2 linked regions of the Cricetulus griseus genome follow. The protein of the gene in region 1 purifies or fractionates together with the protein of each later gene. This does not show direct contact. Links are inferred from orthologs where the notes say so. Each region holds a gene or a part of one and is shown on either strand. Other genes may lie near its edges.

Region 1 (3,318 bases):
GTGTTCCCATTATGTTAGCTTATGTTTATGGTGTTGTTCCAATCTCCCTCTGCCGAAGTGGGGGTTGTGGAGTTTCAGCAGGCAATGGGAAAGGAGTCAGAATTGAATTTGATGACGAAAATGACATAAATGTTGGTGGAACTAACACAGCTATAGGTGAGTCCTTTAAACATGGGAAGAAATGTGTGCATTAAGCCCTACTGTCCTCCTTTTACTAGGCCTTTTTGTGTTCTTACTGTCTCACACCCCTCCCCCCCCCCTTCTCTTTCCTCTCTGAGACAGGGTCTCACTGTGTAGCCTTGGCTGGCCTGAACTCAGTGTGTAGACGAGGCTCACTCTGCCTCAGATGTGCTGAGATCAGAGGTGAATGTCTGACAGCCTCGTAGTTTTAATCCAGAAGCATAGCTGTGAAAGGAACTGTGACGGTCAGACATGTGTGACAGAGGAGGGGTGGCTGTGGGTGCTCACCTCTTACAAGAATACATTTAGGAGTTAGAGCCTTTTCATACAGTGTTTCACTCCATACGTAATGAAGTCTGAAAAGGATGTGAAGAGCATTGCAGTTAAAAGAATTGCAAATGGTCAATAAATGAAAAACTTCTGTATCACTCAAAGAAGTACAAGTTAGAACTGTAGTGGGCAGGAATCTCCACGACTAGAGGCTTTATTCACACACCGGCAGTAGGAGTGTCAGCTTGCTGAAATAGTGCTTGTCCTGTACCCAGTGGTTTTAATCACAAGTGTGTGTCTCAGGGCAGTGTCTAAGAACGAAGCCCTTTGGTGCCCTCTGTGCACCTTCTATGAAATCTCTCGTGTGTCTCCTTGGGGAGCGTGTCTGGTCCTTGCTCTCACAGTCTGCCCTGACTGTCTTACACCACCTCTTCTTGAAGGTGACAGTTAATACTCCGCTTTCTGGGCTTTTAAACGTGTGGTTACCCCTGCCTGGAATGCTCATTTTATGACTCGTGTGGCTCGAGGGAGGCCTTCCTTGGCCATGTTGTAAAGCGGTGTCCAGGGATGACATACGCACTATAGTCACTCCCCTGTCTTGCTTGGTCACATGATTGAATATGTAATAGGAACTCAGATACTGGCGTAAGTAAGTGAATAGTACTGTAAAATTAGAATATAATCCTATAGCATCTTGTAATAGTTTATAGACAATTAGAACTACGTCTAGAAATCAGCTTTTGTCCGTTTTGTCTTATTGATCTAGAGAACAGGATCTCTCACTGGAACCAAGTCTGTCGAGGGAGGTCTTCTAAATCATTTGTTCAAATCCCTGAATCTTCTGGACTTAGCAACAACAAATACTGACCATCTTAAATTTAGGGCCAGTCTCAGATTGAGCAGTACACCCTGAAATGGCTCTCTGTATGCCTAACCATGAGTGTGATATGTACTTTGTGTGATCTAATATCCTTTCTGAAATCATGTAGGAGTTTAAGGCAGGAAAATGAGTAATCATTCTCTCTTCATTTCTTGAATCATTTTACATTTAGATACAACATCAGTAGCAGAAGCCAGGCACAACCCGAGCATAGGAGAGGGGAGCGTTGGTGGTCTGACTGGCAGCTTGAGTGCAAGTGGAAGTCACATGGACCGAATAGGCACCATGAGAGACAACCTGAGTGAGACAGCCAGCACCATGGCCTTAGCTGGAGCTAGCATAACGGGAAGTCTGTCAGGAAGCGCCATGGTGAACTGTTTCAACAGGTAAGAAATAGCTGCTTGTTTTGGTTTGTTAACAAGACCTTAGTTAGATGAAAAATATGAATGCAAAGCATGCATGATAACTACCCAAAGGTTAAAAGTACTGTGTTTGGTACTTGTGTTGTAATAAAAACTTAAGCCCTGAGAAATAACTACACTTGATGAAGTTGATTTGATCAAGGATCTGCATTTGTGTTCACTAGAGTAAAGGCCATGCTTAGCGTCGACCTTGCTTGTTTACTGATACCGTGGAGATGAGGAGGAGAAGTCAACATTTATCTTACTGCGTCATTTTTCTTATTCACTGTTGTGTGTGTTAGCTCTTTTGTGGAGAGGGTAGATGAATTAAAAGTCGTATTTATCTTATTTCAGGTAGCTGGACAGAAACTACGTTGTAATTTGGTATATGTTGTTACCTCTTATTACAAAATCAGATGTAGGCTGAAGTTGTTGAGCAGAACCCTTTTTAGTATAGGATTTATTTTCATTATTTGAGATAGAGTGTGACTTGTACTTTGTGTAATCTAATATCCTTTCTGAAATCATGTAGGAGTTTAAAGCAGGAAATTGCTTAATTTCTGGAATTATTTCACAGTTAGATACAATATCAGTAGCAGAAGCCAGGCACAACCCGAGCATAGGAGAGGGGAGTGCTGGTGGTCTGACCGGCAGCTGGGATGCTGCAAGCCCTGGCTAGCCTGGAACTCACCATACAGGCCAGGCAGCCTGCCTCTATCTCCTGAGGGCTGAGATAAAAGGCATTTGCCACTACACCCAGTTAACAGAGGGATTTTTATTTATTAATGGATCTATCATGTTTATTGATTAATACACTCTGACTTTGTATTTTGTCCTGAGCATGACAGAGGACTGCATCCTAGTGAAAATACCGTGGAGACCATTCAGATCTGTTTCCTTTTGATCTTCCTTTGGGTAGTGTTCTCTTGAGTCCTCTTGGGTGTTGTTCAGTACCCCACAGTTTAATCTGGATAATAAAAGAAGTGGGAACTGAAAAACTACAGTGCCTAAAATAGATTTTCATTACCAAAGTTTCTCACTGAATTATTTAAAGATATGTACTGTGATTGCGGAACTATAAGTGATTGGGTGCGTGTGTGATGCCCTCCTCTTTAAGGCTGGAGATTCAAGCAGATGTTCAGAAAGAACGGTGCAGTCTCAGTGGAGAGTCCGGCACCGTGAGCTTGGGAACAGTGAGTGATAATGCCAGCACCAAAGCCATGGCCGGATCCATTCTCAACTCCTGCATCCCTCTGGACAGGTGAGGAGGACTCCCCTGTAAAAATAGAAGTGTTTTAATTCACTCAAAAGGAATGATCCCGCCCACTGGGCACAGTCTCCAAGAAAACAGCGAGATGTTGAAAGGCGCAAACCCATCCAGGTAGGAAGTCCATGCCCACAACAGAAAAGCAGTAAATGTCCCTGGTACTATTTTAAAACTTGAAGCCTGAAGAGGCTGGAGAGAAGGCTCAGTAGTTAAGCACTGGTTCCTTGTCCAGAAGACCTGGGTTCAGTTCTGTACGAACACTGTGTGGCTCACATCTACTTGGAACTCCAGTTTTCTGGGGGATCTGATGCCCTCTTGTG
Region 2 (4,077 bases), on another chromosome or scaffold:
GCAAGACCACTAAATGCAATCTAATCCACCACCACTTAAGTGAAAGGTTTTATTAGAAAGGGGAGGGAAAGAGAAAAGAGGTAAAGAGCCAGAGAGGACAGAAGAGAAGGGAGGGACACCCCTCCCTCCGCCCACTTCTTGCTGACTTGATCCTAAGCCCACTGAGACACTGACCTTCCTCCTAAGCTGTACCTTCAGTTCTCAGCACTCTGCCCCACTGTGACTCTCATTGCAAGGCTTGGAGCTTTCCCCGACACTGTGCCTGAAACACCCACCCTCACCCCCCAGTGCCAAGCACCTCAAAGAATTACTCAAAATCAGCAGGACTTTAATTTTTTGTTTCTGTGTTTTAAAGTTAAGACATTATCACAATAAAGCACCAACTCCTTCCCCTTCCCACACTTAATGAATCAAACACTACTTTTTGTGGCTACTTTCCTCAAGGTGACCTAAGCGGTTATTTTAACTTAATTTCTTTAAAAAGTAAAAAAACTCTTAATTTTTTAATCATTAGCAATTGAGTTTTGACTGGGTCCACGTGCTTCATTGGTCAGCCAGGTATAGATGGTCACTACACAGCACAAGACCTACCTTGTGTATTATCCCCAAACTGATGCACATGGAACCCATGCTGGCCTTCAGTCAGTCCTGTTATCTGTCCTGAGACCACAACTGGTTCACCACTTCCCTTTATTTAAAAAAAAAAAAAAAAAAATTAAGGCATCAAGTTTGATCGCAAATGCTTCAACATTTGCAAAGGAAATTGCTAGTTTACACCTTTACCCTTTGCAGTAAAAGGCACACCCCCCACCCCCAAACAAACAAACTGTCCAAATCCAGGTGTACCCACCCACACCCTACAAGTTGACTCTCCAGCTGCTTAGCTCTAGGTCTCTCTCCCTGTCAGTCTTCTTGTAACACTTGCTACCAGACGCCATGTGGGCAAGCAAGCTCCTGGGCAGAACAGCATTTCAAAAGCTACCAGCAGAACAACAAAATTAAGGGGGCCACCCCAGGATCCTTGCTCTCCACTCAGCACTCAGGGATACTCATCAGTTCCTATCAGTTCTCTTATTTTTATTTAGTAGCCAGGAAGTATCATGTCCTACTGCCTCAGGGGATCCATCTGGGTCTGACCAGAGTTACTTAAAAAAAAAAAAAAACTTATTAGACATTCAAACCTAGAGAACTTGCCACTTTACCAAAAAGAACAATAACAAACTACAGATAGTATTGAAACAAAGGCAGTGTCACCAGCCACCATTCAGGAGTGTGGTGACGGTTAACTTTGCTGTAACGTTACATCCAAAACTCAAATTAGTATAGCCCCAGAGAGATTGTAACAACAGAGAGAATCAAGAAGCAACTGCAATCAGGAACACATAGGCTGAGGCCTTTCTTTTTATCATGTTTTTAAATCTCCAACTTTTTCAACAAAAGAAGGGACTTTGGGTAGAAATTTTTGACTTGAAAAATTTGGCAACAGGCTAAATCAAACAGCATTGGTAGCCAAGTTACTGCAAGTGCCAATCTGGAATGTTTAACTATCTAAGGGTCTGGTCTTCAGCGGGTACAAAGGGCACCAGCAATACGAAGTTCCTGTGAGCTGCTTTGGTGGACGGCGACAGGAACCCGGCTGGACTCGGGGGTGGACCTTTAGCTAGTTCACCTTGCTCATGGAAGGGAAAGAAGCCCTTCCTCACAGTGGTGAATTTCGTGTGGAGGAGGGGGAAAGAAAAAGAGACAAAAACAAAAACTTACACAGAGAGGGAGCAAAATGCATTCAAATGCCAAAGCAACTGCTGAAACCGAGACAGGTTTAGGAAAACCCAATTCACGCTATCAGCTCTCCCTCGCATCGGGGGAAGACACGCGTTCACTTCGGGGTCTGTCTTCTCTTGTCTACGCAAAGCATTCTAGAGCGCACGTCCACACTCCATTTACCAAATACTCTCTCGGGACTAAGCTCGGGATGACAAAATTTCCCTGCAGACGGGATGCTGCTCTGGGCTCTGGACACGATCTGACCACGAATATCCTCCCTGTGACGCATGCGTTTGTTTCTGCAGTCATTACCGACAATATTTCTTTCGCAAATATTTCTCCCTACTCCTCCGAATGCGCGCAGAAACGTGCTGCCCTAAAAGCACCGATGCCCGGGCCTCTGCCTGGGGCTCGGAGAGAAATCAGAGAGGCAGTGGACGACTGCCCAAGGCCGGCTCTCCGGCTCTCCCCCTCGCGGCGCGGCGCGGCGCGGCCCTGACCTAGTGCTCAGCAGCCCGGGACGCGGCTTCAGAAAGCCACACTGGCGTCCTGAGCCGCGCTGGCCCCGCTCGTCACCACCCTCTTCAAGACAGACGCGGCCTCTGGGCACAGGGCCGAGCCCGTGGGGCAGGGACACCGGAAAAGCGGCAGCCGCGGCGGGAGGGACAGCGGATGCCCGGACGGCCCTGCGGCCCGGGCGGGCCTGGACGCTCCGGGGCGCGGAAAGGGGCCCGCCCGGGAGGTCCCGCGGCTCCCCGGCCTCCTCCCCCGCGCCCAGCCCCTGCCCGCGGCCGCGGTGACTCAGCACCTAGCGGCTCGCAGGCCGCGGCGGGGCGTGGCGGGCTCCCTCGCAGGTGCGCGGCGGCGTCCCCGCGGCCTGCGCCCCGCCGCGCCCTGGGCCTTGCCTTCTGCTCGAAGTGGATGGTGCCCTGCACCGGGCCGTCGCCCTTCAGCACGCACACGGCCTTCGTCGCCATGCTTCGCGAGGAGACGCGCGGCGGCCTCGGGAACCGGAGGACGGCGAGGAAAACGAGGAGACACACAGAACGCAGCGCAGGAAACGCCGGCGCAAACTTCGGCCTCGCCGCCGTCGCCGCCCTTTTATACGTCCGAGCCTGGCCACGCCCATCCTGGCACCGGACCAATCGCCGCCCGCGGGCTCCGCCCACCCTCCGTGGAGCTCCTGCGACGCGGGGCACGCTGGGGGGCGGGGCTGAGGGTGGCGCCGGCTTCTAGAGCGCGCGCGCGGCGGGTCGGAAAGTTCCAGAGAGGGGGCGGCGCGGGAAAGCGGCCCTTGTCTCCTCAAGGGGCCGGCCGTGCCGTCGCCGTGGAAACGCCCTGGAGGACGGAAGCCGCTCGGCCAGGAAACGCCGGGCGCCAGGGACTTGGGTGAGCGCGCCCAGGTGGCCTCTCCAGAGTCGGGATGCGCCGGGGTGGATGCTCGATGCTCGCGCCCTGGCTTTATTCCCTCATGAGGGTTAAATGTGCAAAGCCCTGCCAGGCCCTGTCTCCATCCGCGCCCTTTTTCTCGCTGCAGTTAGTCCAAGTCCTTGGCACGCGCCACGATACTTCTTGTGTTTTTACTTGTTTTCCTCGTACTGGGGATTGGACCAAAGACCTCCCACGTGACAGACAAGGGCTTTACCGCTGAGGACCATCCCTCTTTTTACCTTATTTTTTTTTAGACAGGATCTCAGCATATATCCCATGCTGTATGGGAACTCACTGTGTAGACCAGGCTCGCTTCAAACTCGCAGAGATCTGTCTGCCTCTCCCTACCTCTCAGTTCCTGGGGTTAAAGTCCTGGCTGTCCTGGAACTCGCTCTGTAGAGCGGGCTGGCCTCCAACTCACAGAGATCCGCCTGCCTCAGCCTCCCCAGTGCTGGGATTAAAGGGCTACGCCAACTCCCCCTCTCCGTCTTTTTACTTTTTTAGACAGGCATTGAACTTGAATTTGAGATCTTGCTGCCTCAGTATCTCCAATAACTAGGATTGCTTGTCTGCCCCACCATTCCCAGCTAAATTCTGTATTCTCTTGCCAATTTGACAGGTCTCTACTTAAAGATACCAAAATGGCAACAGAGTAGCTGTCAGGGATCGCCTGTGCCTTACTCTGGCTTTAAGCCATGCCCTGAAGGACTCGATGTCTGAGGAAGTCATTTTCGATACCTCTGTGCAACAGGTGAAACATAGTGTTTCAAGGGAAATGTTTCTAAAATGTTATGGAATGAGCAAAGGGTACAATTGCTTTTGTGACTTTCAAAAAAAAGGGGGCATCAACAGTATATTTTCTTATGTCGTCAGAGCTGTTCA

The links. The genes of interacting proteins can lie anywhere in the genome.
Region 2: the proteins of Rnf19a (region 1) and Sod1 purify together in Homo sapiens (affinity purification with western blotting, with the first as the bait; 3 studies listed by BioGRID). This does not show direct contact. The link is inferred for Cricetulus griseus from reciprocal best matches to the Homo sapiens genes RNF19A and SOD1.

Annotation. Positions count from the first base shown.
Region 1 is NC_048603.1:15,215,485-15,218,802, forward strand, and holds part of Rnf19a (E3 ubiquitin-protein ligase RNF19A), read left to right. Parts: coding exon 1-156; intron 157-1,502; coding exon 1,503-1,716; intron 1,717-2,848; coding exon 2,849-2,992; intron 2,993-3,318. UniProt on the Homo sapiens protein: E3 ubiquitin-protein ligase which accepts ubiquitin from E2 ubiquitin-conjugating enzymes UBE2L3 and UBE2L6 in the form of a thioester and then directly transfers the ubiquitin to targeted substrates, such as SNCAIP or CASR.
Region 2 is NC_048597.1:7,466,133-7,470,209, forward strand, and holds the start of Sod1 (superoxide dismutase [Cu-Zn]), read right to left. Parts: upstream 2,847-4,077; 5' UTR 2,742-2,846; coding exon 2,670-2,741; intron 689-2,669; coding exon 592-688; intron 1-591. UniProt on the Homo sapiens protein: Destroys radicals which are normally produced within the cells and which are toxic to biological systems.